4 linked regions of the Saccharomyces cerevisiae S288C genome follow. The protein of the gene in region 3 purifies or fractionates together with the protein of the main gene of each other region. This does not show direct contact. Each region holds a gene or a part of one and is shown on either strand. Other genes may lie near its edges. The genes, in order: TAF10, TAF3, TAF2 and TAF7.

What was found.
Region 1: the proteins of TAF2 (region 3) and TAF10 purify together in Saccharomyces cerevisiae (affinity purification with mass spectrometry; 5 studies listed by BioGRID, with this or other methods). This does not show direct contact.
Region 2: the proteins of TAF2 (region 3) and TAF3 purify together in Saccharomyces cerevisiae (affinity purification with mass spectrometry; 4 studies listed by BioGRID, with this or other methods). This does not show direct contact.
Region 4: the proteins of TAF2 (region 3) and TAF7 purify together in Saccharomyces cerevisiae (affinity purification with mass spectrometry; 5 studies listed by BioGRID, with this or other methods). This does not show direct contact.

What each region holds. Positions count from the first base shown.
Region 1 is NC_001136.10:787,896-794,370, reverse strand, and holds TAF10 (Taf10p), read right to left. Parts: upstream 4,923-6,475; coding exon 4,302-4,922; downstream 1-4,301. Other genes in the region: STB3 (Stb3p), read left to right, coding at 482-2,023; Hsp90 co-chaperone CDC37, read right to left, coding at 2,523-4,043; exocyst subunit SEC5, read left to right, coding at 5,150-6,475.
Region 2 is NC_001148.4:531,636-538,854, forward strand, and holds TAF3 (Taf3p), read right to left. Parts: upstream 3,069-7,219; coding exon 2,007-3,068; downstream 1-2,006. Other genes in the region: mRNA-binding protein RRP12, read left to right, coding at 1-1,774; RET3 (coatomer subunit zeta), read left to right, coding at 3,383-3,952; RQC2 (Rqc2p), read right to left, coding at 4,185-7,219. UniProt on the Saccharomyces cerevisiae protein: Functions as a component of the DNA-binding general transcription factor complex TFIID. Binding of TFIID to a promoter (with or without TATA element) is the initial step in pre-initiation complex (PIC) formation.
Region 3 is NC_001135.5:200,674-211,174, forward strand, and holds TAF2 (transcription initiation factor TFIID subunit TAF2), read right to left. Parts: upstream 4,725-10,501; coding exon 501-4,724; downstream 1-500. Other genes in the region: MATALPHA1 (transcriptional co-activator mating type protein alpha), read left to right, coding at 1-296; YCR041W (uncharacterized protein), read left to right, coding at 238-570; YCR043C (uncharacterized protein), read right to left, coding at 5,588-5,971; PER1 (Per1p), read right to left, coding at 6,204-7,277; RRT12 (Rrt12p), read right to left, coding at 7,462-8,937; mitochondrial 54S ribosomal protein bL19m IMG1, read right to left, coding at 9,241-9,750; BUD23 (18S rRNA (guanine1575-N7)-methyltransferase), read right to left, coding at 10,045-10,501. UniProt on the Saccharomyces cerevisiae protein: Functions as a component of the DNA-binding general transcription factor complex TFIID. Binding of TFIID to a promoter (with or without TATA element) is the initial step in pre-initiation complex (PIC) formation.
Region 4 is NC_001145.3:720,879-728,931, forward strand, and holds TAF7 (TATA-binding protein-associated factor TAF7), read right to left. Parts: upstream 3,508-8,053; coding exon 1,735-3,507; downstream 1-1,734. Other genes in the region: mitochondrial 54S ribosomal protein mL53 MRPL44, read right to left, coding at 82-320, 468-525; ORA1 (oxidoreductase), read right to left, coding at 715-1,518; MTF1 (RNA polymerase specificity factor), read left to right, coding at 3,748-4,773; RRP5 (Rrp5p), read right to left, coding at 5,056-8,053.

The sequences.
Region 1 (6,475 bases), on a different chromosome or scaffold from region 3:
CACGTGCGCGCTGAGAGGGTAGAGGCGCCTTCCTTACCTTAGTAACCGAAGAGTGAACTATTTCAGATAGTCTTTATCCTTCTCATGTTCATCTCCACACAATCTCACGCAATCCACGCTATAATATAAAGATACAGGTACGGTAATACCATCCATATCCAAGACAAATCGATTATAAAAGACACTGATTGCAAACGGTGCCTGGCAATCCTGATCAGAAGCACGTTAAATTTATCGCAAAAAAGGGCGAACTGAGATTTTCAAGAGTCGTGTCAATAACCAGTTTCCAATCGGAGCACGTGAATTTGTAACCACTTGTAAACACGATTAAAGACCGTTACTAAATTTCCGCTGAAAAGAAGGAAAAAGAGTATAGTATCATCTGAATCATTCGGTGTACAAACGCCAAGCTCCTGCTTTGTGCTTTTCTAATAAATTGAAATTTTGAATAAAAAGACATTATTTCAGACTACCACTAATAATGTCAGAAAACCAAAAGGAGGTATCGCCTCCTCAAGCCATATCGGTCAAATCCGAGGCAAGCTCTAGTATATTTTCCAAACCTATCTCCACATCATCACCCGCTGGGTTAGCAGCCGCTCAAAGAGTTACGCCCGGGAAACTGTCCACTTTATTACTAGAAATGGGACCATTGGCCATTAGACACATTACACAGACCTTATGCCTAGATATTCCCTGTTTTAAAGATTTATCATCTTCCAAGCAAAGACGACTTATAATGAGTGCTATGGAAAGTGGTGATAAAGAAAAATCAGTGGTATTTGAAAAAATTGGATGGGGTCAATGGTCCGCGAAAAGAGTAGACCCTGCCAACTTTGATAAGGAGCTGGAAGCGACCAATTTTGCAAATGCAAAGGTGAAAGACTTGATTTCTCAAGAGAGTCAAAGAAGGAAAAGCAACAATTCAAATTCTAATTCAGGCGGCAAAGTTGAAATGCCTATGAAAGTTGAGCATAATATCACGAATATCGATGGAGCCACCACCCCGCCTACCGCTGTTGCTTCCACCACCATTCCTGTTAATATCAAACGCAGCAAATCTCCACTTGCAGCAGCAAACGTAGTATATATAGATGAAAATGCGCTAGCATCGGAAGATGAGGATGAGGAGTTTGATGAAGATGACCATCATTTACATTACCAAAACAAATCGAGGAACAGCAGTAATAATTTTGGAAAATCTTCAAATGGTGATCCCTATAGTTTCGGCAGGAGAAGGTCTCAAGTTGTGTTCGCCGATTCAACTCCCGAGAATATTGAGCATGAAATAATAGCACAAAAGATTAGACCGCTATTAAGAAATAGACGCCGTTCGAGCATAAAACCACATACACCTTTCATTTCCAAACTAAACACACACCAAGATTCATCCTACCTTTCCCCCAATACAACCTCAACGACAACCCCATCAAATAACAACAGTAACTCAAACCAGGCGAAGATAGATTTAGAGAAACTTACTGCGACAAGTGAGCCAACTTCAAGAAGAGCTTCTCGTCTGTCTGTATCGAAAGAATCAAGTATTAGATCGACACTTTTCCCAAACAAAAACTATTTGATCGTCACTACAAACCCTAACTCTAAAGCTACGTCGGTTTCCACCTCCCCTAAGCTAGAAGAACAGATGAATGTAAGTTCAAATCCGATAGTATTATCGGACAAGGAGAAACATAGAGTAGCTTCACAACACCTGAATGGGGAATCGTCGCCACAACTTGTTCCCCATTCTCATCATCAACCTCACTCAGATACAGACGAAGAAGACTGGGAATCAATTGGTGCAGCTTCTCTGAGAAATAACAGTTTAGCACCTAACATAGACAGCGTAGCAAGTTCTACTAATGGCGTAGTTAGCCCTAAACCTACAAATCCAAGTTTTACTAACTCTCAGAATGGAGATATTGAGCCTCCCCTACAACACGACCAACAGAAACATGAACAGCAGCCAAGAAATGGGGAAGACAATAGTGCTGCGTTTTTATTAATGAGCTTAAAATCTTAAGAATTCTTTACCAGTTCCATGAAATAACAAAAAAACAGTAAAAAAAAAATGAAAATGAAAAAAGAATACATATTTTGTTTTAATGAAAGTTTGTTACCAAGTTTTGCTTTAAGTTTATCATCTCTGAATAATTATTTTGTCTTTTTTGTCACCACTTTTTTCTTGTCACATTTTTTTCTTCTTTTCATATTCATTTCATATATTAGCCCGTTCAATATATTTCAAAAGACCCAGTATTTTTCACATTTTACCCTTCCGATTCTTTGTGTAGTATATACAAATTACAAAAACACACACTGAGAAAAACATGCACTAATAAAAAATAAGATATTATGTACTAACGTAGGAAAGCAGGTACAAAACCTCTGCTGTAATTTCACGATTTTCTTTATTGATCATTAATTTTCTTCTTTTTTTTTTTTGTATTATGTATAAATGAAAATAACAATAAAAAAGGAAGTAGATGCACGCTGCACCAGTAAAATAGCTACATAAATTTCTAGTCAACAGTGTCGGCAGTATGTTTGACCTCTTCATGGTTATCTCCGCCACCATCACGGTCGTTTAAGGACAGATTCTCCATAGTGGCGTCTTCATGGTCCTGTTCGTATTGATCTTTCAAACTTTGAAAGTCTTTCTCGTTTTCTAAGATCGCTTTTATTCCAATAATGTCAATGTCATTAAACACTTCCAAAAGTTTCTCAGCCTCTTCAATTGGTATATCTTCAAAGACTTTATTAATATTATCCAAATTTTTGGTCATTATGGCTTCTTGCATTTTTTCCGGTATTAAAGTTTTGAAAACTTTAACCTTTTTCATCTCTTCTGGATCTTTAGAATTGAAGTCTGGCAAGTTTACTTCTAATTCTGTAGAATCATCTAGAGATTTCAATTGAATCGTCTCTACTCCTTCAGCATTCGATTCATCCATTTCCTCTTGTTGTAAAATTTTGGAACGTTTTTGAATGTGCAAAAATTTTTCTTGAACTGATCTCAAAAAAGACTCTTTACCCATTGGCTTGTCCTTGTTGAAGATAACCTTCTCGAAAAACATATTAATGACATTTGATAGTTCCATTGGATTTAAATATGGAATTTTCTTCATGTCGTAGATTTCCTTAATGTAGGCCATCAATTCGGATTGATGAATGACTTGCAAAGTCATCTTATCGTCACCATGTAACTGATACTCAAAGGCCTTCATCATTAAGGCGTCCTTTTGTTGTTCTGAAATAATAGGTAAGTGCTCCAGTAAGAATTTCTGAGATTTTGAGTACTCATTAATGGATATTTTACCGAATTCTTCAGTTTCCTTGGCCAGTTTCATAGGATCATCTTTAAAATCGATGAAAGTTTGCGGAACTGATGATTTTGCTAGTTTATTAAGAATATTAGACTCTGCAGCGCTCGAAAGAGCTTCTGAAGGAGTTGCTTCCAGTGGCTTAGCCCCCCCCTTTTGCTTGTTCATAAAGCTACTATCAAAGCCTGTATGAATGTCTTCAGATGAAATGTGTGCATTTTTCTCCTTGTATAATTCATCTAATTTCTTCTTAGCCTCTACAGTTACTGAATCGATCTTAGCCCTATGTTTCAAAATAGCATCCCTTATGAGAGATGGGCTCTTCGAGTCTTTGCCCTCTTTGTCTAAATCTTTTGCTAATTGTTCAAAAAGATCTTCAACCATTTCATTGTATGTTGCAATCTCAGGATCAACATTTTCCCCTTTACTTTTCTCCATCTTATCAAAATTTGCATTCAAGAATTTGGTAACGGCTGGCAAATCAGTAAGAGAACTTTCAGGTAAATTACTCAAAATTCTGTCCACTCGTTTGTTCAAATGAGAATACATATCCACTTGTGTCTCCAAATTTTTGATATCTTGGTTCCTTTTGAATCGCTGTTCATGGATACTCTGTTGTTTCCATTTAATGAACGATTTCTTGTCCACATTAGGATGCACCTCGACATCAGAATCATCTGATAGTTCAATTTTATCCCACTTAGAGTAATCAATGGCCATTTTTGACTTATGTAGTTGTTCCGTAGTACGATAGCTCGATAGTTTTTTTATCGTGATGAAGTGTTGGTGCAACGGAGGTGTTCTCTTATGTGGCAATCTTTCATGATCCTTCAGTAAAAAATCGTGAAAAACGGATGTTCAAAAAGCGTGTCAAATTTGCGTGAATAAGTGCTCTAATCAATCTAATAACGAATCGTGTATTTAAAAGAGTTGCATACTGCTACACTATATACATATTTCATTTCCATTTGTTAGCCACTAACGATAAAAGTCTGGGCGACCTATATTGAGCCCGTATTCAGCAACAGCGCTACTGAGATCGTTCACCGTCAGAACAACTTTGCTTGCTGTAGTCTTCTCATTCTGTTGATGTTGTTGTTGTGAAATCTGCTGCACGCCAGGCTGTTGCTGTCCTTGCAATAGCTGCCTAGCTCTCGCCTGACTGTTGTTAGCATTAGATACCGCTACGGAAGACCTGATCCTGGAATATTCGTAGGCATCCTTAGCTATATCACTAACAAATTTCTGAGTAGCAAGTGCTAAAAGTCGTTTCACTCGTACATCTGCTACGTTAAACCCGTTTTTGGTTAAATAGTAGTCTATTACTGCATCGGGAATGATAGGAGGAGTACTGTCCATCATCTCTAGAATCTCCTCCAGAGTCTTATCTTTTCTTGTAAATTCGGGTATACCAAATGCATTTTCACTCCCATCATCCACTACAGCCTCTCTCTTTTGCTTCTTCTTCATGTTTTCTGCGACAGAGTCATCATTATCATTGTCCCCATCATCGGCTCCCGCAACCGATGGAAAAGGTGTTTCTAATTGTCCTTCTTGATTATCATCAAACTCCGCATCGTAATCTTCCTCAAAATCCATAGTTTCAGTTATTCTTTCCTCTGTTCTTCGCTGCCAGTTCTTTTTAGCTTAGGCATGAATGCTGAATCTGCAGCTTCTTTAATTTTTCGTTTCTGTTTTCAACTTGAAAAAACAAAAGTATCAACTCCTACTATTCAACTAAAGTAACAAAAATAAGCTGCGTTAAAGCTGCTAAACTAGGAAAGAAGTTTCTGTTGAAATAAAGTAGCGAAAAAAAGTTTGGTACCATGGATAGGTTTCAAATTGGCGACGAGCAACTACTTCGTTTTTATCAGTTGAAGACTATTAATCCGACCCATTCCTGGGCCCAAGATTCCTCAAAATTGAATAATGAAGAGGCTACAAGCAATGAACTTGGCGTTGAAACGTCATTCGACATATTAAAAGACTTCAAATATGGCAATCAAATTAGCATTGACAAGGAATCGAGAGCATATTTAAACGATGAGTCGTTAAGTTATATTAGAGATCCCTTGAATGGACAAGAAATGTCTAAAGAATTGCAACATCTACCAAATGATTCAATGCGGTTGAACTATCTTGTCAACAGTAAACAATTCAACGTCAAAGCCTTTCTGAGAGATATGCACAAACAAGACTCTTTCAATGATCTAAATAACTCACTGGACAGGTTGGACAGTGATATACAAGACCAATCTATACATTTGAAACAATTGGTTGGTAAAAATTTCACCAAGTATGTTAAGATTAAAAACAAGTTAGACCAAATTTACAAAGAATTTGACGAGAAAACGAATGAAAAAAACCAATGTGATTCACCAAAAGAAAATCAAATAAATGTGGAAAGCTTAAATAAAAAGGTCGACGAGGTTATTAGAACAACAACTTTCAAACTGAAACCGCTAATGGATAACTATCAGAAAATTTTGAATTACCAGGCCACCAAAAAATTTATTGAATTGAATAAGTTTTACTTCAACCTACCCAAATCTTTAAAGAGATGTTTGACTAACAACGATTTCAATGAGTTCATTATCGAATATTCAAAAGGTCTTACGCTCCGTCGCCGTTTCAACCAGAGTTCAGATGCTTCACAATCTCTTGTTATAAAAAGAATTTGGACTCAAATAGAAAATTTATTAGTCACGTATAAAGATCTGATTTGGAACAGTTTAATAAATTCAAATTTTAACATTGACCAACCCCAAGAAACAATTTTGTCCCTCTTTTCAAAATTGTTGAACTTAGAAAACTTTATCAATAATAATCAAAGAGAAAGTGAAAGTGGTAACAAGAACACAACTTCATCATCCAATGAAAATCCAATCCTAAGATGGATGTCCATCAAAATGAATGGCTTTCAGAATGAACTGAACGAGTTGTCTGGCCATATGATTAGTAAAATCATTCATTCTCAAAGGCTTATATTACAAAACAATACTAATCAAGATAAAAGTCAAGGGTGCGTGGAGCTGTCGTATTATTTGAAAATCAATCAATTATTCCAAATAATAAGTGATACGGGCAAGGATAGTGAAGGTTTGAAAAGTACCGTTGAACCCAATAAAGTTAACACCATTTCTGGAACCAGC
Region 2 (7,219 bases), on a different chromosome or scaffold from region 3:
TCAAAAGAATATAGAATACCTTTCAACCAAATCAACGAATCTTCTAGCAGTTTTGTTCAATGTTTATACTCAAACCACTCCAAATGCAAGGAGTTATATTTTGGAAACGATTGATCAATATTTAAAGATTACTTCAAAGGAAGATTTGGAGAAAACTTTCAACAACGTATGTGGTCTTTTGAAGAATTCTATGAATGAAGAAAGTAGCGGAAATGTGAACAAAGAAAAGAAAAAGCCTCAATTGACAGCGACACTATTGGACTTAATCATATGTATGATAACATACTTACCTGTCTCGTCTTATTCTGCTTTATTCTCAATGTTTAGCCTCACCGTAAATTCTGCTGACGCGCTAATTCAAAAAAGAGCTTATAGAATTATTACAAAGCTTTCTGAGTTGAAATCGGGATCAACAGCTGTCGCCCAATTCATTTCGGATATTGAGAATGTCATGGTAGATAGCGCCTCCTCTGTTCAAACATCTGCTAAAGCTGCAAGATTAACAGCAATTAAAACCATAGTAGAATTATTACCTTTAGATCATCTTGATTTCATTGTTAGAACCGTCGCTGAGGTTATTTTGAGTACAAAGGATGTGAATGAAAAATCTAGAGAGACCGCTTTTGATACTTTAATTTGTATGGGAAGAAAAATGAATGAGCCAAATGGTATTATCAAATTATTCCAAATACCAGGTTATGATCCTACCACTCCAGATCAATCGTCGTCAATATCAGAGTTTTTTAAGATCATTTCTGCCGGTCTTATTGGTGAATCTCAACATATGGTTAGTAGTTCAATTACGGGTTATGCTTGTTTAGTTTTTGAATTCAAAAATGAACTCGATTCCGGTATACTAATGGATATATATGACACCATTGAATTGTACTTAACTTCTAACTCTAGGGAAATTGTAAAAAGCGCCATTGGGTTTACCAAGGTTTGTGTTTTGGGGCTTCCAGAAGAACTGATGAGGCCAAAGGTGCCAGAGTTACTTCTAAAGTTATTAAGATGGTCTCACGAACACACTGGTCATTTCAAAGCCAAAGTCAAGCATATTATTGAAAGATTAATAAGGAGATTTGGATATGACTACATTGAAGCCAACTTCCCTGAAGAAGATAGGAGATTATTAACAAATATAAGAAAGATGCGCAATAGGAATAAGCGTAAAGATGAAGAAGTTACTACTGGAGTTAGTGATGTAGCTGCCACAAAGGGTTCAAGATTTATGTCTGCATTCGATGAAGCTGTTTATGGGTCTGATGAAGAAAATGATAATGGATCAGATCAGGAGGAAAATGTTGCTGGTGGCAAAATGAAGAATGGGGCAAAGCAATTTATTGTAGAATCCGGTGACAACCCACTAGATTTGTTAGATTCTCAAACACTAGCTCATATATCATCTACCAGACCAAAGAAATTCAATAAGAATCAAAATAGAGCAAGGTTTAATGATGATGCGTTTAACTTTGACTCAGAAGGAAAACTCGTTGTCAAGGGGCAACCTAAACCCTCTACTAATGTAGACGATCCATTGAGTGCTGTGACAAGCGGAATCAATGCGTATCTAGAGGCTGTGAAAAGTGGTCCTGTAAGAGGTCAAAGAAACAAGCTGAAATTCAGGAAAAATGGAAAGGACTCTGATGAATTTGGCGATGATGATGATGGTGAAAAGGATAGTAGGCTAATGAGAGGAAGAGTAAATCAAGGTAACAAGATTGGCAAACATAATAAGAAAGGTCCAAAGTTCAAATCTAGAAAAAAATTATAGAAGATTGAAACTGAGCAATATGGCTAATTACACACCTGGAGAAAAAATCAGATATGTATATATAAGAATATTATAATACTGTATATTAAAAATGATTAAAATAAAGAAAAAAATGAATCGGGCGTTTAATTGCTTATTATCTTGAAGAAGCGAAAGTACACTATATAGTAATAATGTGAGGTTAATTAAATATGGATGAGATAATGACGAAAGAAAATGCAGAAATGTCGTTTTAAAAGTAACCCCCATAATCTAGTGAGGTTCGACGTTGAAATGTGCTGTCCATATCTTCCTGCTCTGCCCATTTAGTATCAACATTTGAGTCGAATTGAAACATTGATATGTCACGGTCATCACCATGAGGAGACTCTGTTAAACTTTTATTGTTCTCTTTAAAACTTTCCTCATTGTTATTTTCTTGAGACTTTTGGTTAGGGCCTTCCACTTCGCCAAGTGATTCAAGCTCCTCATCCTCAAATGAAAGAGTTATATTTTCTAACCTATTTTCTTTTCTCATTATCGGCAGTTTGCTAGTTACAAATGGATTTTCTTGGATCTCTGTTAAGGCATCCTCATCTCTTGGGGTCATCGCCGAAGGCATCCTATCTTCGTTTGTTATGGTAGTGTGGTGATGGCGGCTTAGAATGGAAGATTTATAGCCTGCAATATGTGGTAAAGCCGGTACATTTTGAGATTCTTTTTTGGAAGCTCTTTCAATCATGTTTATACGTTGTCTAGCAATGACTAATTTGATCCAATCATCTAATCCATTATTATTTATTAGATCTTCTATCAACTCTGTTTTTCTATTCTTTGTTTCTAATTTCTGTTTCGCACCCTTGTTTTGCAGTAATTGATTGAGATAGTCAGGTATTGCTGACAAAGGATCAGATTCTTTTTCCTCACTTTGTAGTAATTCTACTGTGGGTAAGGCAGTTATTCGCGCGTCGGTCAATTGAGTACTATAAATACACCAGTCCTTGAACTTTTCCATTCCTCGTGAACTTGATAATTCGGAGTTTTCATCATAGACATCCAGAACGTTCGTAGGCTTAACAATACCTAGATTTTCCAGAGCCAGAGTTATATCTTGTAAAGCAATTGTATCGTCCTGATCACATCTTGCCTGAGCGATAGAACTGACCTCTGATGCTAACAAACTCAAGAATTTTGCATAGAGATCGGTCATGACATCCACCAGACTGGGCCTTGCCCTGTCAAATCCTTGTGCCTTCAATAATTGGAGAATAGATATGCGTAGTAGAGCAAAATAGAAGTCATTATTTGTAGTCATAGCAGAGGAACTCTATTGACCCAAAGATATCGCTGTTTTCCGCTAGTAGGTGATTTGGAATTGCTCAGGAAGCTACTTCAAGTGTTATATTAGCATACCTTCATCATGCAATATGAAATTACTGAAAAAAAAAACTAAAGCATCGCGAGCTTACCCGTTTCGCCACTTCTGTCAAGTGAAAAAACACGTTTGCATTGTTTAGGCTACAAGGTGTGGAATATCGAAGTTATTGCTAGACAGAAGTTCTTTAGGCATTTAGGTTTTGTTTGTGAGCTGGCTTGCTAATTTTGAGTACTGTGCATCATTGTTCCAGGATGTCTTCTTTATCGCTATATACTGTTCAGGCTGTTTTAATACTAGATCAGCAAGGAGAACGAATTTATGCAAAGTATTATCAACCTCCTCATAGATCTGATGAAGGACACCAATTGCTCTTCAATTCGGTGAAGAAGCAAAAAGAGTTTGAGAAACAACTATACCGTAAGACTCACAAGCAAGATTCGGAGATTTTAATCTTCGAGGATCATTTAGTCCTTTACAAAGAATACATTGATATCACGATATATTTAGTTGCTTCGCTGGAAGAGAATGAAATTGTTCTTCAGCAAGGATTTTCAGCAATCAGAGGAGCTTTGGATTTGATTTTGAACTCAGGAATGGACAAAAAAAACATCCAAGAAAACTATGATATGGTTTTATTAGCTATTGATGAAACCATTGATAATGGTGTTATCCTCGAAACTGACTCTAACACTATTGCATCCAGAGTTTCTAAACCACCTACGAACGAACCCCAAATGGCATTAGATTTGGATAAGGGTTTCTTAGGCGCGTGGGGTTTCGCAAAGAGCAAGTTTCAAGAAAGGTTACAGCAAGGCTTATGATCACAAGGCAAAGCGGATAGAAGAAAATTTTAGCTGGTCTTATATGGTATATATGCAGTGTCTTACTTTCTCCCTTCCATATATATGTATCTACTTATATATATAAGTATATGTTGCTCATTTAGAAATGATTGTCACCTCATGCTAATCATTTTATTCTTCTCGTTGGTCTGTGATGAAAAATAATGAAAAAATTATAATTGCTGTCTATTTTCTTTTCATCTCATATGATTTAGCGTTTTTTTTTGCCCTTCTTCGAAGAGTTACCACCGTTCTTGGTGGATTTCTGCCCAGCGATTGTTACTTTTAACTTGTCGACACAGAGCAGAAGAACCAAGTCCTGTTCCTTCAAGCCTTTAATCATTTCATGTTCTTGGGGCCAATCCATTTCGTTGTCAGTTGAAGAACCGTCTAGTGGTCTACTCTTGAAATAATGTAAAATTTCAGTTAAAGTCTTAGTTTTCTTCGCACTTCCCGGTTGTATTTTGACTTTGTATTTATATTTCAAAAGCGCAGGCCAGGGGGCAAATACTGGTATAATATCATCAACCACATCGCCCTTATCGAGAGATGGTTTTAATTCGGACTTGTGTTTATCATAGTTCACTCTTGCTTTCTCTTTTTTGGTGAATTTTAAAGCCTGTAGTCTTCTTTGTTTCTCGCGTTTATTCTTTCTATCTTCTCTAACTTCTCGCTTCATTATTTCTTCTTTCTTCCTTTGTTGCTGCTTTTCGATACCCTTCAAAGTACCCAAGGCCTCCAAACGCAAGAGACGTTCAGTTTCATCCTGGTCGGCGTATTTCTTTTGAATTTTCTTCAATTTTCCTCTTTTACCACGGACGTTACTGTTTATGTTTTCGATTAAAGATATCGGAACACCTGGTTCATCAAGGATACGCTGCGTACTGCTATTGTCATTTTTGGCTTTAGCATTTCCAGAATCAGAGTCGGTATCGGATGATATGGTGCAATGCTTTTCGATGTCTTTTTCAAGATTATCGTGTTCAAAACTGTTGTTTTTCGTGCTATCGTTTGAATCTCCACCCTTCTCTAACCCATTGACCTCGTTACTATCGTCTTCATCTTGCTGTTGCTCTTCTTCTTTTTCTTCTTCTTCTTTTTCTTCTTCTTCTTCTTCTTCTTCTTCTTCTTCTTCTTCTTCTTCTTCCTCTTCTTCTTCTTCTTCTTCTTCGTCATCATCACCATTATCCTCATTTCCACTGGTTTTCACTTTCCATAAAAATCCAAAACCCATCACAAGTTGAGCAGGGGGTAAATGGTTTTGATCATTCTCATTTTTCAACCGAAAGGCACCTTCTGGCAGAATGGAGTTATCAGAGCCATCGAATTTACTAACATTCTTTGCAAAGCACCACCATGGAGAAGAAGATATCTTCTTCGACCAAGCCTCGCTTGAGGACATGCATAGTATACCCGCTTGCATCAAAGTGTTCGGTGGAACTTCTGTTTTTTCTGGATTTTTGATCCATACATGAGAGTTAAAACTATTGGACATATAAATATCATCATCTTCAATATATTTTGAATAGATTTGATCTGTCTCAGCCGGACTTTTACCCATCATGACCAAAAATCCTTCACTTGAAATAAACCAACTATATTTTTCAAAAAAGTAAGGAGTGCGGATCTTTTTTAAGACACTGTGAGAATCTTTTAGCTTTTTTTTCAATTGTTGATCAATTTTGACTTCAATATTCTTCATAGCCTTGCCGACATTCTTTTCGACTTTTTTCTGCTTTTGAGCACTTGTTTTTTTGATATTGAAATATTCAGTGGCATTGGCATAAGCTGATAAACCAAGGTCAATTGTAACGTTTATCTTTTCATTAGATTTTCTTTTCATACTTTTTGTACTCCTCTCCTTCGAACTCTCCATGTCTTCTGAGTCTGAGTCACTAGAACTATCAGTAGTATTGCCTTCTGATTCATTGTCCTCGTCTGAAGAAGTGTTGAGTTCCTTGCTAGAGAGATCAAGCTTGACGCTAATTTTGTTCTGTTTCAAGTTCAAAGGCAAGTTCAAAAGCTGAGCAATTCTGTTGCCTTTTTTTTGTTCACTTTTAATTAGTTTCTCAATAGTGTTCCAGTCCATTTGTTGATCGATTAGACCCTGAACAGCAAGCTTAACTTCCTCTATTAAGGGTGCATTTTCAATTATGAGATGGCCTTTCCTTTCATTTAGTTCTTGGACGTCTAATAAAGCTTGTATTTTTCTATCATTTTCGGCACGAGCATCATCGATTTTCTTTTGCGCTTGCGATTCCTGATTTTGTATACGTAGAGCATACTTAGAGGATTCTATTGTTGAGAAAAATTTGTCTAGCGTCCTATTGTAAGGACCTTCAACTTCAATGATACAAGAAGAGTCAGTGTCTCCCCCATTTATATATGGCTTAAAGGGATGGAATGTATCATAAATAAATTCCAAATCGGCAGTATCTTTTTCAGAGATATAATTTTCATTTCTTTTGGCCAAAATGTAACCCTTTCTATCGGTGGTAGTTAAAAGTTGATTATATTCTAACTGAGTACTGTTTAGCAATTCGGCGAGTGAGTCTGTTTCCTCCAAAAGATTTAAACAAGACTCTGAAGGGTCGATATTGAATACCTTAAGGTTCTTTGATAATAAATCTGAAGACAAATGAGGGACTTTCGAAAGCAGCAGTTTATGGATGGAAGGTACTTTCACTTTTTTTTTTTTAGCGCCCTCCTTCCCTTGAATGTTAAGTTGCTTAATAACAGTAATGTCTGATTCATACTTGGCTTGAACTGCTTTTATCCACTCGTTGACTAGTTCAGAGGTGTATTCTGCCTTTCTGTTTTTTTCTATGGATTCATCAGCAGACTCGTTATTTGTGGTAAAAAGTGATTCGTCAAACATTTCATAAATTTGTCCGACCTTATTTTCATGCTCTAGAACGACTCTTTGCAAAGCCATAATTCTTCTGTTCTCATCTAGAAGAATGACATTCCCTGCACTGAAAAATTCCAAAACTAAATAGAAGTGGCCATCAGCAAATTGTAGAACAAGAATTCTATCCTGGTCTACTTGCTTTAAAGCTGTTAACCGTTTAGCTTTAAGATGCTTCCTTAGTTTGACAACAAAGCCGGAAGGAGTTGGAGGTATTGGCCTACTAAATTCAGTTAAGTAAATTCTTAAGCCACAATCGACAACAACATTGAGTTTAGAATCTGGTTTATTAAATTTCAGCAAAAATTGTTTTGAGGAATCGGCAATGTTATATATAT
Region 3 (10,501 bases):
TTCGACAGTTCAATAAGACATCTATAAAATCTTCAAAGAAATATTTAAACTCATTTATGGCTTTTAGAGCATATTACTCACAGTTTGGCTCCGGTGTAAAACAAAATGTCTTGTCTTCTCTGCTCGCTGAAGAATGGCACGCGGACAAAATGCAGCACGGAATATGGGACTACTTCGCGCAACAGTATAATTTTATAAACCCTGGTTTTGGTTTTGTAGAGTGGTTGACGAATAATTATGCTGAAGTACGTGGTGACGGATATTGGGAAGATGTGTTTGTACATTTGGCCTTATAGAGTGTGGTCGTGGCGGAGGTTGTTTATCTTTCGAGTACTGAATGTTGTCAGTATAGCTATCCTATTTGAAACTCCCCATCGTCTTGCTCTTGTTCCCAATGTTTGTTTATACACTCATATGGCTATACCCTTATCTACTTGCCTCTTTTGTTTATGTCTATGTATTTGTATAAAATATGATATTACTCAGACTCAAGCAAACAATCAATTCTTAGCATCATTCTTTGTTCTTATCTTAACCATAAACGATCTTGATGTGACTTTTGTAATTTGAACGAATTGGCTATACGGGACGGATGACAAATGCACCATTACTCTAGGTTGTTGTTGGATCTTAACAAACCGTAAAGGTAAACTGCCCATGCGGTTCACATGACTTTTGACTTTCCTTTGTTTGCTAGTTACCTTCGGCTTCACAATTTGTTTTTCCACTTTTCTAACAGGTTTATCACCTTTCAAACTTATCTTTATCTTATTCGCCTTCTTGGGTGCCTCCACAGTAGAGGTTACTTCCTTTTTAATATGTACTTTTAGGATACTTTCACGCTTTATAACAATATCAAGTTTACCTTCTTCATTACTATTCATCTTCGCCACAAGTCTTCTCTCCCTTGGTGTTTCCAATCTAACTACAAAACTGTTGATTAGGGTGTACATCACCCTAACAAGATCATGTATTTGCTTCCTCTGGTACAAGCTAAGAACAGGTAAATTCAAAACATCCCAGAGTAATATCTTCAAAGGGCTATACCCTTTAAACATATCTCGGCATATTTGTATTAACCCACTAATATTTTGACGGCCAATCTTTTCTATTTTTATTTTCATATCATCGACGTAATGACCACTTAAAAACAACTCAATATCATCCTCACTTTTTATATTTTTAACTTCATTGTGCACAGATTGGACGGAGGACTTAATATCGTCACTTATGGTATCCAAACTACCATCCATAACAACTAGATTTACACATTCAGAAAGCACATCAACACTTTTATCCCTAATATAAGAATCCTCATGGAAGCAAAGTATTTCAGTAAACAAAACAAGGGCATCCTTGTTTTTTAAACCACCTTCTAAAAGCATGATTTTCAAAACCATTAAAAACTCATTCTGAAAGCTTTCCCTGGAAATATCTCCGTTATTTATACCTAATGTTAATGTATGCATTATCATTCCTGTCAATTCCGTAAAGTCATAAGCACCCACTTTATGCAATTTGTACTTAGCATACATGATAGTAGTCTTAATCAAAGACTCGTATGATGAAAGCCAATTCACCAAATTTTCGTACCTCAATAACTGAGTCTTAACTTTTTCCATATATGCTTTATCTTTATACTCATTTAAAGCAACTTTAACAACATTTTCAATCAAGCTGCGGACGTACGCATCATCACTGTATTTATTTTCACCATTCTCATTATAAACAAGAATATCCAGTAAAAATTGCTTCACCAATTTTGGACATTTACCATTTTCATTTTTCACTTTAGCCAAATATTTGGGAATATTACACTGTAAGAAATACAACTTAGGATTCTCAAAGTTATTACTCTTTGGAATATTAGAGTCTTCTAGGCAAAACAAAATCTGAAAAATCTGAATTAAATGCTTAACACCGCCAGTAAAATCCGGATCATATACGTATTTACTAAGCGCTTCGCACGCCGCGAGTCTTATGCCAAAAAAGTAACGCTCGTCGATCGCCGTTCTAAACAAAATACTTGAATAAACAAGTGATTTCACACCACCATTAACAACGACGTCCTCATAATATCGTATGGCTTCTAGTTGGGCCTCTATGTCCCCATCTTGTCTCAACTGAGAAGAAAACATGTAATCCGGCTGATTAATGTGCATTTGGCAAATCCATTCCAGATCAGAGTCTATGCGTATCCACTCAAATGCTTCGTTTTGCTTAAGCAATTCATTACTCTCAGACGTACGATTAAATTCCGTCAAACTGAATCGGGAACACTCTTCGGGCGACATGTATACATTTCCTAGACAATTCACATCCACAACAATAGGCTTCTCCTCATTATTGTTTTCAACACCATTTTCATCATTTGCACCACCACCTCTTTTCCTTAATCTTCTGTACTTTGTATTGTACTGAATATCTATTTTTGTGAATGTATCTTTGATTTCCACAATATGCTCATACGGAGTACCATCGTGTTCATGGATCCTTATAGTCATCGAGCCCGTGAAGCATTCGGTTCGGTTCAAATCTGGATGTTCTAAGTGGTCTAGTGCACTTTTGAAAAATCCTTCCTCCCCTACCACTTTTTCGTGGCCAAGTTCTTCATCTTGAACTTGCCTTATACCCAGTTCTATAACCATCCTCTTCCTATTAAATCTTTGGGTGACACGTAATATGGGTACCCCAGACCCATATACCCATTCGTTGAAAAAATTCTCTAATTTACTTTTATTAACTCTTTCGCAAACATGTTGAAAATGCGATGAAGTCAACGAATTATTCGGTAAATCACCAGACATAGCTTGAAGGAAAATTTTAGGTAATACTCGAGACATACCGAAAGATCGTTCTGTTTTAGTCATCCTTCTGTCAAGTATGTGTAGTATCATCGGTGCCTTCAATTGTATAAAGGACAAATCTTTAGAAGACCAAGATATTGGCCTAGAACTGCCGGTAAAAGTGCTCCCAATAGGCGGTTTCTCGAAGTCTTGTTCCACAATCGCCTCACTATTACGCTTTAATTGATATTTATACGTGTTATTACCCATTAATTTTTTGGTTACCTGAAACACCATATAACCAGCAATACCAAGACAGCACCAGTAGTCGTTCATATCTAAAGGAGTTATATTCACACAAGACCATTGGTTAGCAAGTGCCCATGCTAACTCATTCGTAGTACTGAATGCTTTATCAATAACTTCTAGAGGGTACAATAATCTGGTATTACAAATGCCTAATGCTGCAAAATCCATATGCTTAGAAGGTGCGGTAGGTAAAAACACCATAGAGTAACAAGTGAAAGGATAAGACCCAAATTCTTTCGAGTAGAAATCTATAATTTTTTGGCAGACAACTGTCGAATTTATAACTGTTAACTCATCTGTTTCCTGCGTCGGAAGTGTGAAAATTTGAATGGGTATAATATCCGAACCAATGTCGTCATCCATAGTATCGTTAACATTGTCCACAACATTCTCTCTCAACTTGTCTTCCTCTACTTCGTCCTCGGCATCAACACTTGGAGGTGATATCAAAGGTAAAGACCATGAATTAAAGGCGCCTATAGCCCAACCAATGTGATGTGGAGCCACAGGATTAATTATCTGAAATATGCATTTTTTTTTCGTCAAATCAATCGGGTGCGGAAGTTCTTTAATATTTGAATATTCTGAACAACACACAATCACATCCCTCAAACTCGGATTGTTGCTTTCCTCAATATTCCGCCTTTCCTCTTCCCCTTCCTCTTCCTCTTCGTCACTTTCGCCTTCCTCTTCTTCTTCATCATTATCTTGTGCATCTTTGCTTTTACTATTTTTGCCTTCTTCGTCATTTTTCAAGTTAGAATCCTTATCTTCGTCTTTGATAACTCTTGCCGGCTTCCCCTCTTCCTCTTCATCGTGCTCAGGCGTATCCTCCTTCTCTTTTTCACTCTCTTCTCCATTTTGTCCGATTAATTTCGAAGTACCTATATTTTTAACCAATCTCGGTACGCTGAATTCTAACTCCCATGTAGATTTTTCATCAAGCAAATCGACACATGGGACCCAATATGATGCAGAACTGCAAATCTCACCATTTGAAGTGTAAACGTTCCATAACCAGGGCTTGTCAGCATACACAGTATCGAATTTAATACCCGACTTTGGGTTTCTGATTTCATATTCAATTTGTAATGTAATTGGAGTGAAAACAGATTCTTGAAACCCAGGGGTAGTCTTAATTGAAGGAGTAATCGGAGTGTAATTACTTAATGCATTGGCGTCCTCCAAAGATATTTTGATGGAAGATGGTATTTTTATAGTTAACTGGGATTTAGAGTCCGTTTCTGGGTATTCATTCAAGCTAGCAAACTTAGATCTCAAAAAATGTGACTGTTCAATGGAATTGTCGCTGTATAATACATTTTGTGAAGTCAATCCATTCAAATTTGTTTGAAGTGGGTCGTCATGAATAAATTGATCACATCGACGATTTTCGACCAGAACATCTTTAATAGTCATTTCCTTGCAATCAAAAGTTACATATTCTAGGTTTTGGATCAACGGAATGATTATTATAGTAGCGCTACCGGTAATGCAGTGAGTAGCTAGATCTATATCCAACGAGATTTTTTCATGGGCAACTCTAAAATTTCTAAACTTCATCTCATGCAAAGTGCTAGATTCACTAACAATGGCTCTAGGAGTGGCGTTTTTGGAAAAGGACATCATGAAGTCCACCTATTTATCCTGTTGTCACCTCTTCACTGTCCAAAACTTCATCAAAAAATACTTTTACATCCGTTCCATTTTACTATAGTTTTCATCTTACGCAATTTACCAATTGCCCCATTCGGCAAAAGTATTTAAGTGTTACCCGGTTACTTAAGGTAATACCAAAAATATTCACTATATTGAAAGTTCTATGTATTTTATTGAATTAAATAAGACTGATTTTGTAGCACGATATCCGCAAGAATGATTCACAACCATTTTAGATGTCTGCAGCTTTTTTTTTTTTGATTTTTTTACTAATTTTAGTGCGATTTTAGAATAACTCTTGGATTAAATAAATAAAAAAAATACAATTATCACTCAGATTTTGAAGCAATCTGATAAAAATTGCAGCATATTATTATAACAATTCTAGTTCACTACAAACAGCACATTATCAAGAAACTTATGTTTGATGGACAGTTTCTTCAAATAATTGAATGCAGTAAAAAATAAAAAAAATAACCATGGAATATGTTTCTAAGAATTCGCAATCCTTGTTTATATAACTATAGCTTTTTTTATGTTATAAGAAAACATTTATTCCTTTAACCAAAAGGAAAAAGGTAACAACCCCACTTACCCCTCTGTCAATAGTTAATCATTTTATTATTTTCAACTTTAAACATCCAAAAAAAATAAAATAAATTAAATTAAAATCAAATAGAAAATGCATTATTACTATAATAATATCTCTATGTAGACATATACATATTATTTCATTGCTTTTTGTAATAAACGAGGAAAATGGTGGGATAAAAAAATGCATTGTTATTCCTTCGAAACCAGCAGTAATAAGTCGTCCTGAGAACGATGTAGATTTAGATCTTTACATGTTGGTACTCTAAATCACCTCCTTCCATCTTAAAGTCGTCCTTCTTCTTGCTCCAATCAAACTTGCTTTTCTTGCTGCTGGGACACCAATTTAAACTTATTAACCAGATAGTAAACAAAATCATGAAACAACAGAAATAACACCAAAAATGATCGTAAACGTGACCCCTTATGATATCACACACTGAATAATCATACACTTCATCGTCTATAACCAGTCCATAATTGAAATAACCGAGTCCGTATTTCAATACAGGTTTATATCCACCTTCATCGGTAAACGTACTTGGACTCAAAACTGTGCTTAGATCATTAGTTCCTTGGAATGCATGTTCTCTCAATAAGGAAGCATCAAGTGGAGCTGGGATCATCCTTTGCCAAAGTACGTTAAGAGCGCTTTCACTGCCTACTGTTGCCCCAAAAATTTCTTGGCCTTATCTTGGCACAAATATTCTTTTGCATTTAGTTCTATACATACAGAAAGAGCGAAAAAAAAGTGAAAAATAAACAGAATGTGATAACGGTAAAAGAAAATCAAAAATAAACAAAAAAAAATACATATATAACTATTATTCATGATAGTAAACAGGTGAATTAAGATATTTAGTACAATTGTCTATTACCCCAATAGGCATAATCCTCGAGGAAAAAGTCGTACAATACCCACGAGGGCCATATTGTGCACAGATGCCATAGCGCATGGGCATCAATCTGCCATTCGTAACTAAAAAAGTCAAACAGTTCCAATGACATGGCCATTGTGGTTACAATCACAAGAAGAATTGGAATGACACACAGTTTGAAGATTTGCCGCTTGAAGCTGGAGTACGCGGTTTTCTTGAATTCGCCCATTAGCTTTTGCTTTTGCAGAGCATGGTAGTTTTGGCATGATAACATTATCAATAAAATATACTGTAAAACACCGAAAAAAATGTTGAATCTCATGTTGTATGTGTACGACCAGTCAACATAGAGTCTCAAGATGTGCAGGGCAAAGATTGCCGCAACTGACGCAGTGAACGCTTGTGCTATCTTGGGGTACAGGAACATGGAAGTCATTCTTGCAAATATTGCATGAAACCCTGTTAGGACAGTTAAACCTGCGAAAAAGTAATCTAGCTTCTCCGTTATGATCAAATCACGACAGTGAAAGACCGAGCTTGCTGTCCAAGCCAACATTCCCGCCACAGTAACGTAAAGGTAGTTCCAAATCAGTATACTTCTGCTGTTTTTTCTCCTCCTATCTCCCTCTTCGCGTATGATTCTAGAAAACTTTACAAATCCCTTATAATGTGGAATAAAGTTACCTATACTGAATATCGTCGAGAAGAATTCCTGAGTCCCCAATACTCTCAAAAATGGCCATTTCCCATGGAATTGGTATATTTCTTCCTCTTCGTCAATTCTCCAGCGCGTAATGATGTGCTGACATTGGTAATCACAATCTGAGATACAATCCCAGAACAATAACTTAGAGTACAAAGGCGGGGTATCGAAAAACTCAATATCATGAAACATGTTGGTTTCAGGGTCAATGTAGTTTATTTGGGAATTCGGACATCTTCTGTTATACTCGCACGCATACGTACAGTCTATAAACTCATCTAAATTATCTCCTGGAGAGCATGTCACTAGGAAACAGTGAACAAGTAGGGTCACAACCACAGCTAACCTCATATTTCTTGCCACACTTCTGTTTCTTTTCTCCCGAAGGGTATGGTTTCACACCTTAGGTTGCTCTTTTATTCGCTTTATGAAAAATGAAAAATGAAAAGTACAAGAATACGCAAGAGAAGAGCGAAAAAACTAATGTTGACATGACATTATGCAATAATTTATTTATGAGAGAAAGAGAAAAACACTACAAATTTTTCATAAAATCACGCCTCTTCAATCGAATCTCACCAAGAGGTAGTGTGACATCGTTATTCCAACCCCACAGTTTTGAACCAGATTGAAGATTCTCAGACATAGGAGTTTGTAAAGTGGCATTGTACTCCTCCAGTTCCTTAGCAATTGCCTCTATGTTCAATCGAGGGAACGTTTCGTCGTCATATGGATCGTCCAGTTTATCGACGCCGTTGTAAAGAATCTGGTTTGGCGTAGAAGGCTTGAAAAACAACGTTCTTCTATGGAAAACATTACGCGTGGACAAATACTCAATCTCCTGTGCTATCATTTCAGGCTCAATTCCCTTCGAGAGTAGGATCGCTGCAACTCCGGTGACAATGGGCGTCGACATAGATGTACCTGACAAAATTAAAGTGTCGTTGTAGTTCAGATGAGATAGCGACTCAATTTCCACGCCTGGGGCAAAGATGTTTACACAGGGCCCCCAATTGCTGAACTTGGCAATCGTGTCAATGTGGTCATCAAAGGCCCCTACGGTGATAACGTTTTCTGCAGACGCAGGTGAGGCCCAGTAGGCGTCTAAATTGAAGTTCCCCGCCGCGGCAACAAATACAATACCTTCTTCAATGGCCCCCTCCACTGCCATGTTGATTATGGGGCTCCTGAAACTCCCTAGACTTAGATTGGCCACGCATTTTTTACCCTGTGGGCGACTGACCTTTGTGCAATGTTCCACGATGAACTCCAGACCACTAAGAACGTTACTGGCCTCGCCAGACCCGTCTTTGCCCAAGACTTTGACCTCCACAAGATTGACCCTCTTTGCCGCTCCATACGTTTTGGAACCTACGAGTCCCGCCACGTGCGTTCCGTGGCCATTCTGGTCGCCAAACCCTTCTTTGGTCAAGTCAATCCCCTGGATGACTCTGTCTTCGAATTCCGGATGGTCCGCGAAGATACCCGTATCCATGATATAGGCGTTGACGTCTTGACCTTGATAGTCGTGTTCATAGTAGTAATTGAACCAGCTTTTGTAGCGGTCCTTGTCCCCAACGTCGAATGGGAGTTGGTAGTGGCGGGAAATCCGGGCCAAGTGACGGGGTGCGTCTGGTTGATACGTTATATTTTGCTCTTCCTCGACGTCTTCGTACGAGTATTTGGCGGTAGCGTTAAACGTATAACTCGACTCGGCGCTATTTACACTGTCGCCTTCAAAAGCTTCGAACCTGAAGTTGGGCACAATATCAGCCACCAGTGGGCTTTTCTTCAGCTTGTTCACTAAGTTCTTGGACAGGTTCATGGTCACGCCGCGGAAGGATCCGATGGAGAATTTCTTCTCAATTTTGTTGTCGATGAACTGTCTCCATGACCTGTTGGAATTCGAAGTGAATTGTTGGAATGCTGTGGGATTTTTGAACCTCACCAAATACTCCTCTGCGTATGCGAGGTTGACCAGCAAAGAGATGAGTATGCACTGTGGCTTCATGACCAGTGTTTTTTTGCTGTTTTTCTTGGCGGATGTTAGAGGATGTCTAGCACTTGAGTATACCTCTATATGCTGTGTAAAATAGAAAATAAAAAAGCCAATGAGAACAATATTTTGTGTCGTTTTTTTTATTTTCGCTTCAATTCTCTATACACGTACGTCATCACTACGGGAAACCAAAAAAAAAAAAAAGAAAACAGTACAAAAAGGTTTACTTTACCCATAGTTAGTATACGTAGATTTTATACACGCACTATTTTTCTTATATACAGGAGATGGGTGGCCACAGAACCCGCGCCTAGCCTATTTCTTTCTTCTTAGACCTGCCTCGAGGTCGCCGACATCCAACCTTGTACCTCTGATGTAGTAGTGTTTGTTTCTTTGTCTGCTCGAGACGTGGGGGGTTAGCAAGTCGATTCTCTCGATCAGCGGCGAAAACAATGGCACTCTAATCTCGACGGCCGTCTTGGCTATCTGGTTCCGCAACAGCAACGAGGCGTCTTGCACCAGTTGTTTGCGGTCTATGGAAAGGATGTAGCCAACAAAGGTGTCGTACGAGCACTTGGACGAGTCGTACACAATCCGGACCACGTCGCCTGCCTTCAAGCGGTCCTTGTTCTTTTTACTGATGAGCTTCCTCTTAACGGCCCCGGGATCCAGAGACTCTATTTCTGAGAGGGCCACCTGCTTCATAATCTGCGACGAAGCTATGCGCTGCACAGGTGGGTACACGGGGATGGTTTTTCTCTTGGTGGCGGGGACCATGTAGGACCTTGTCCATGATCCAAGCAATCTGACGTTCCTGCTCCACATCGCTATGGTTCTCTCTCCCTTTCAGCAGCTGCTCAGAGGGAAGACTCGATTCTTCTTCTTCTTCTTTACTGGGAGTTCCAAAGCACCAAAATTGAAAACCAAGAAAAAAAGGAAAATACATCACTACATAAAAGTGCGCGGAGCCATTGACCACTCACATACAGATATAAGTGTATATATACAAGTATACATATACAAGTATACATGTAGAAGGAGACAGAGACAGAGGGAAATGTATAAGTGTGTATTTTTATAGTATACAAAAGAATATGCGTGTGAGGATGTGTGTTTCTTCTAGAACCTGTGTCTTCTTTTCCTCCCGGTGAACTTGGAGTCCTTCGCAACTTTCCTCCCACGTCTTTTCATGAGCTCCTTCTTTCTTAGAATGAAACTCTTGGCAGACTCCTTGTCTTTGCCTCCCTTCAAGCGCTGGCGCAGTTGTTTCTTCAAGTTGACGTTCTCCTCGTCCATGGTCACACCGTCCAAATTCACCTGCTCCTCCCCCTGCGGTGGGGCCCCACTGCTCAACACAAGGTAGTACTTCTTATTCTTTTTAGACTCTGGGTCGTCCACCACAAGCCCGCCACTGAACCCTGCCACCTTGGCAGACTGCAGTATGTCGTCCACCTGGTCGTCGTTTTTCGGGTAGAACTGGGCCACAAATTTCCCTCCCTTCTTCAGTGCAGCATACAATGTGTTGAAAAACCTCATCAACCGCTGTTTAGGATCGTTGTATGAAGTGTCCGCATTG
Region 4 (8,053 bases), on a different chromosome or scaffold from region 3:
CTTGTGAACTCTGACTTTGTTTTTGTTAGAATATTAGAAACGTGCATGCCTACAATGAGATTTGTAGATGCCTTTATTTTCTCAATGCATTTCCAACATATGTTTGAGATCCAGCTGTTTCGAGTGACGGTCGAAATGATTGGCTAATTCCTGAAAGTTCATGTTTGATGGATCGACTTCCATTTCTTTTTTGTCCTTGTAGGTTACTTTCACAAGAGGCTTGACTTTATTGTAATCTGAGATAATTTCCGATTGAATCTGCGTGCCCATGTTTCGTTGCGTTGGTGGAATGGCAGCAAGTACTAACCTAGCAACTTTCGCTGAAATCAATGATATGACCATATCATTTGCTGTTAGTATTTGTGATAGATCGGTTCGAGCCTACCTCAGCCTAGTTTAGCCAAATCTTTAAATCATGATGGCCAAAGGTAAGGAGAACGAATAACAGAGCGAAAAAAAATACATACCTTCCTTGCCAAAGGGATTAAACCTGACAATTACCTTACTGAAGTATTTAGTTATCATGGCGAAGATATAATTAAGCTCGTTTCTTCTTCACATCTGTTCATCCTCTATTTGAGGATCCATAAGTTTATCTCTTTTATTTCGCCGGTATATTCCGTAGAATCGCGCAAAACGGTTCAGGGAAGAATGAAATAGCTAAAAAGTCTTACATGTATAAAAAGTATACAGATTTACTTAGTTTAGCTAGGTTTATCCACGGAAGATATGATGAGGTGACGCTTGGTTTGTTGGAAAGATTAAAGTGTCTGCAATTACAGTATTTTGTTTTCTGGAAGTTGCATAGACGATCAGATCAGCCACGTCATCAGCCATCAATGGGGTAGTATCCTTGTAAACATTCTTGGCTTGTTCCTCGTTACCTCTGTATCTAACTAGTGAAAATTCAGTCTCGACTAGCCCTGGTGCAATTAGAATGACTCTAATTTTAGTGTTGATGAGCTCCTTTCTCAAACTATCAGTGAACGCCCCCACGGCAAACTTAGAGGCACAATAGATAGAACCTGTTGGGTATGCGTCTCTGCCAGCGATTGAACCCAAATTTACAATATCTCCTGAATTCTTGGCTTGGAATATGGGCAGTACAGCTTGTGTGATATTGATTAAAGCCGTGACGTTGGTGTCAAACACGTCCTGGATATCCTCCGTTGCGATCTGGCCCACACGGTCACTGCCAAGAGCCTTTCCGGCATTGTTCACCAGAATGTCAATATCCTTGAACTCTTGTGGCAAGTTTTCAATGAAGGGCTTGATTTTTTCTGCTTGAGTGATATCCAGCTGGGCCACATGAACTTTTGCGTTTGGAAACTCTTGATCAATGGTCTTCTTCAATTCCTCGAGCTTTTCTAATCTTCTAGCAGCCAAGATCAGTTTCATATCACCATTGGATGCCTCCAAGTACTCTAATGCGGTCGCCTTACCAATACCAGCAGATGCACCTGTAATGAGGACAGTCTTCTTAGCCAATCTTTCTGCAGCTTTTCTACCTTGGGACATTATCAAAATACGTTCTCAATGTTCTATTTCCCGCCTTTACTAGTGAGCTTGAACACTTTCTATGCGCCATGCTGTTTCATCTATCCTCCTTTCTTCAGCTTTTTATATCGCTCCGATAAGAAAAATCGGTGTCGTGCCTTAATATATATCAATGCTATACGTCATAGAGTAGAGTCGTATAGTGTATAAGAGTAATATATAGATGATAAAGAGAACTTACTCATCACCCTCTGCACCAAATAGCATCATCATATCGAGATCGTTCTGGTCGAGTGTTTCCTCTGCGGGGGCTTCATCAAGTTCGCGCACCACCTTGTTCTCTTGTATGTGTTCCCGTTCATGCACATTATCCTCGTCCTCATCGTTTTCTTCGTCATCCTCCTCGTCTTCGTCCACTTCATCCTCTTCCTCTTCTTCTTCCTCTTCCTCTTCTTCTTCCTCGACGTTATTTGCAGTTTCTGCGTCAGAGCGATGTTGATGTTGTTTCTGGACAGAATCTTCGGTTTGTTGTAACTGCTTACGTTTTAGTTCAGCCTCCTTCTCGAGCTTTTTAATGCTATCTATGAACCTGCTTTTCAAAAGAGGATTCGTGGCTTTACTTAATTTATGCTTGGTATGGGCCAGGGTGGTCTCTAGTTCGTTCAATTCGTCCGCAAGTAATTCAGTGTGCTGTCTGTTTTCGTCTTTTTCGTCATCAGATTCACTTTCCCCACCAGCAGCTTCAATGTCACCGTCGTCATCATCGTCATCATCTTCTCCGCCTGTGTCTTGATCCACCTCATCACCGACTTCCTCTTGTTGTTGCTCCTTGTCTCCCTCGGCACCGCTACCTTCCTCTTCACTTTCAAAAGCAGCGCCTAGGTCAAGATCCTCCTCTTCTTCTTCTTCCATTCCTTCTTCTCCCTCTTCTTCTGCACCTTGTTTTCCTACTGCCGAAGCAATTGTGTGTATCTCTTCTTTCTTTAAAGCAGGTCTAGATAAAGGCTCTCCAGGCTCCTCTTTGAAATTTTCCCAACTAGAAACACGCTCTTGCCTCGCTTGCAGTTCACTTTTATCAACCAGATCATAGCTGACCTCTTCTGCCTGTTTATCTTGCTTCAAAAGCATATCAACCACTTTTTCTACATAGTCTATTTCATTAGGGTCCATTTTCCGTCTAAATCGTCTATTTCGAACATTGTACAAAGGTGGTGATATTCCATGTTTGTAGTCATAGCCCTTCAAAGCTATTTCTTTCAAATGTTTAGCCTCCATATCACTTAAAGGCGCACCATTGTATCCTTTTAAGAAGGTTTCTTTATTCTCCCAAATTTCATCCTCTATGCCTTCAAAATGCTTAACAACCAGATCTTCTGTATCAGGGGCTTCTAGGGCATATACTTCTTCCTCTTCTTGTATAGGTCTTATGCATAGTAGCATTTGTGATACGTCAAATGTCTTCAGGAGGTTTTTTCTATCGACGCTCTTGTTCACTTCTATAACTGTAGGCAAATCTACTAGAATGGCACCATACATTACATCGTTTATTGTTACGACAGCGTGTCTCTCGTTTTTCCACTTGATACTTATCCCAGAATAATCACCTGATTCTAACGAATTTTTTACAAACTCTAACTGTATGTCTGGAAGTATCCTTAATATCACACCACTCTCTATGAGAGGGTCATCTTCAATATCAGAGGCTTCTGAGTCGTACGCTTCCCCAGGAATTCTAATAGGTTTGAGACGTAGCTTTGGCGCCTTGTGTATCTTCTTAACTGGTTCTTCATTTTTTTTCAAGTTTAACTTTAACTTCAATGAATTCTTCTTCTCTTTGCCGTCAGCACTCTCTTTCTTTTTCTTTAGGTTTATCTTTAATTTAGGCTTTGGTTTGATATCTTCATCAGTTACCTTTGTCTTTATGCGAATTCTCTTTAGTTTAGGCTCGCCTTCTAATGGTTGATCCTTCTCTCCTGGTCCTCTGGGTTTTTTAATTCTTATAACAGCCATATTTACGTCGATTATTGCGACTAATTTGAATGGTAACACTGTCTCTTGTTTATGTAGTTCTTCCTATTCTTCTCGCTTTTATTATTTTTGCTAGCAAGTTTTGTCTTGAAATTTTATTTACTGTTCTCATCGGCCGAATAACAGCGATATTATTGTATGATGATAATAGAGATGAAACTTTACAAATGCGGTTACTACGTCAGTCAATACCATTCTTTGAAGTAAGAAGGCTCAGCAACTATGTCTGTTCCAATCCCTGGTATTAAAGATATCTCCAAACTTAAGTTCTTTTATGGTTTCAAATATTTATGGAATCCAACAGTATACAATAAAATCTTTGATAAGCTGGATTTAACTAAAACGTATAAACATCCAGAAGAATTGAAAGTACTTGACCTCTACCCTGGTGTTGGTATACAATCAGCTATTTTTTATAATAAATATTGCCCCAGGCAATATTCTTTATTAGAAAAACGCTCAAGTCTCTACAAGTTTCTGAATGCAAAATTCGAAGGGTCTCCATTGCAAATTCTAAAAAGAGATCCATATGACTGGTCAACCTACTCGAATCTAATTGACGAAGAGCGAATATTTGTTCCTGAAGTTCAATCCTCAGATCATATTAATGATAAATTTCTAACCGTTGCTAATGTGACGGGGGAGGGTTCTGAAGGTCTTATAATGCAGTGGCTGTCCTGTATTGGAAACAAGAACTGGTTGTATAGGTTTGGTAAAGTAAAGATGTTATTATGGATGCCAAGCACAACAGCTAGAAAACTTCTAGCTAGGCCAGGCATGCATTCTAGATCCAAATGTTCAGTAGTAAGGGAGGCATTTACAGATACTAAACTCATTGCCATATCAGACGCAAATGAATTGAAGGGATTTGATAGTCAATGCATAGAAGAATGGGATCCCATTTTATTTAGTGCTGCGGAAATATGGCCTACAAAGGGAAAGCCAATTGCGTTAGTAGAAATGGACCCAATTGACTTCGATTTTGACGTAGATAATTGGGATTATGTCACGAGGCACTTAATGATTTTGAAAAGAACACCCTTGAATACTGTCATGGACTCGCTGGGACATGGTGGCCAACAATATTTTAATAGTAGAATCACTGACAAAGATCTGCTAAAAAAGTGTCCGATTGATTTGACAAATGACGAGTTTATATATCTAACGAAATTATTCATGGAGTGGCCTTTCAAACCAGATATTTTAATGGATTTTGTTGATATGTATCAAACAGAGCACTCTGGTTGAAAAAAGTGCTTTTAAAATTTACTTCATTATTTAATAAATATGTGATTTTAGCGTGTGAATATAAAAAATACATAGAACTCAATCTTCGTTAACACGGAACCATCTTGTAATCAAGAAGCGAGAAGCGGAACTAAAACTTTAAGAAAAGGAGCTCTACGAACCGTCAAAGCTAAATTGATCGATAGAAATTGCTTCTTGAAACTTTACATTCTATGTACTTTACAAATATACTTTACAAACTTAGCCATTTATATTACTTTACAGTTAAAAATCCATCAGGAATTATTCGTCTGCTTTTTGAGATTCATGGCTAGCGACATACTCAGTAGCTTTAGCTTTAACGTATTCAATGGTCTTTTCGTCACCTTCAGATTCCTCAAATTGTAACCATTTATTAAAGAAAAACTTAGCCTGCTTCCTTGTTATTTTTTTGGTTATTATTCTCTCAAATAAATCTTCCACCTTCTTCTTATCTTTTGCCTTCACTTCCTGGTCTACGTAAACGTTCCACAGGTCAATTCTCTTTGGCGCATCAGCAACCAAACCTTCGAATAATGACCGACCCCTTTCTGGGTCACCCTTTGCAAATTCTAATTGAGCAAACTTGCGGACAACCTCGATATGATTACGCTTTGGTAGGGCCTTCAAAGCATTACCTAAAATAGTACGTGCCTCTTGCTCTTCATTGTGGCTGATCAAAAAATCACCCCACGATACCCAGATAGAAACTTTCTCGCCGCCAAATTTCTTAGCTGTAGCTTTGAATAATTCTGCTGCTTTGTCGAACTTTTCACTTATTTCATAAATACCAAGCAGTTTTGTATGAATAGTATATGAGTCCATATACTGACAAGCCCTGCTAAACACTTCTTCTAAAGTTTCTTCGGTACCAAAAGTATTTTCTAAATTCAGCATTGCAATCCAAATATTCAACTTCTCGGCTTCTTCTCTGAAGTTGATGGTCTTTAGCGCACGTTCTGCGAGCTCTCGAGCCTTCTCGATCTCACTCAGTTGTAGTTGGAAAGCCATATAGTTCATCCACACTACGGACGAATTTGGATTACCGATAAGTAGACGTTCAAAATCGGCAACAGATTCTGGTGCCCTAGTGTTGATATCAATGGTCTTATCCTGAACAACATTTTCCTTTCTTCTCTTGTGCTTGTGTTTCTTATTTTCAGTAAAGTCTTCTTGATCTTGGTCAGACTCTTCTTCTTCTTGCGCTTGATCCAAAATGGAAGCAGTCCAATCAAAACCAGCACTCAAGGATAGCCCATCCGAAGATGTTTCAGGCTTCCTATCGGCAACTTCGGTGTTTTGGTCTCCGATATCAGATTCGCTGTCGGAATCGTTGAAGCCAGCATCTGCCATGACTTCATCTTCATCCTCCTTTTCCAGTTGATCCACAGTAGTAGTGGTGGTGGTAGTAGAAGCCAATTCGGCTTCTTTAGAGAAATGAGACGCTTTCAAGCTCAATGAAATTTGTTTTTTTTCTGGATTTGTTTTCAAAACAATAGCTTTTACTCTGTCCCCAACACCAAACAAGGCAGAAAGATCTTCAGGTTTTTTGTCCGCAATTTCAGTAATATGTGCCAAACCAGTAACATTAACAGTGTTATCTAGTTTGACGAAAACACCAAAATCAGTGACGCTTTTAATTGTACCCTCGAAAACATCACCAGCCTTAATGTCTGAATAGGTCTTTAGAACCTTTAAATCACCATTTATTTCGGATTCTCTTAGGGTTAGAGAAATACGAGAATCTTCATCGCATGTAACGACTTTTCCCAAAACGTATTGCATAGGCTTGTAAAACTTCTTCCATTCCTTCAAGTAAGAATCAGATAGTTTACTAACAGGGACAAAGGCTTCAACTTTCCTACTCAAGTAAACAAAAATACCTTTGTCATTCACATTCTTAACAATACCATCTACAATCTCGCCTTGCTTCAAATCTTCATGAGATTTGATCGAACGAGTTTTTGCAGTAGCAGGACGAAGGGATAGTTCAATTTTCTTATTCTGTTCATCAACAGATAAAACGGTAGTTGGAATGACGTTGTTAATTTTGTCTTCAAAAGCTTCCTTCAATGTTAGGGAGAAATCATTTAACGCATCCGTAATAAAGGAAATACCAGTCACTTTGTTACCAAGGTCTAACAAAACATACTTTTCAGCTATTTTTAGAACACGACCTGGCAATTCATCACCAACTTTAATTGTGGACATATTTATGTCAACATGACTCTTTCCAATGGCATTGACAAAGCCATGCTCGCGGTCAATAGAGGCAACTTTCACTTGGAGGGCTGAACCTAATGGGAAAACAGATTCAATATTTTCTGAAAAATTTGAATCGTTATCAGCTAAATCTAGTAGAGAAATTCTCGCCTTCAAAACTGGAGAAATTGTTAGCCATAGGTGGTTACCTGATGAATTGTTGACAAAGCCAGTTAACTCTTGCCCAATGTTGATTTCCTCAAGACTTTTTGTGTGCACTTCCTTAGATTTTAATTCTGATGGTTTCATGGATAATTCCAAAACGCTAGCCTTTGAGATTTTGTGTGTAATCGGCAAGAACTTATGGCTCTTGACATCGTGATTACCTATGATTTTTACCTTGATGACATCGTCTTTTTTGTAATTACTCAACGGCTGTTTCTTATCTGTAATTTCTTCATACGTGTCAAACACTTCAGCAATGTCCACTCTGCCATGCAAATTTGCCGCTAAAATAACATTCAATTGATTTTTCTTGACGCTCTTGATTTTTGCTTTAACAATACTACCAATAGACAAATCGTCCCAGCTTTTGATAGACGAATCAACAGGATCTTCGATATTAGATTCAACTTTCTTCTTCTCTTCTTTGACCTTTGGAGCTTTTAGAGATAATAGGAATTTCTGGTTTTTGTCGTCTGTTCTTAATAAATAGACGGTAACGGATTGGTTAATATAAAACGCCTTGCTGATATCAATATCCCTACTATCAACAGCGTAACTTGGTAAAACCAACCCAATGAACTTACCGTTAAATGCAACAAAGAGACCCTTATCAGAAATGGATTTAATGTAAGCGTGCATTGGTACATCTTTATTTAGATCCTTAACATCATCATATGTTAATGGAAGAGTCTCCTTTTTAGCGTCTTTAATCAGAGAACTTTTGAGGGACATATTGAAAACGCGGGTTCTTGTATCTTTATCAATTACCAAACCAGTCAGTTCAGTGCCGATTCTGAGCTTTTTCAACTGAGCCCTATTTTGTTCAATTCTGGAA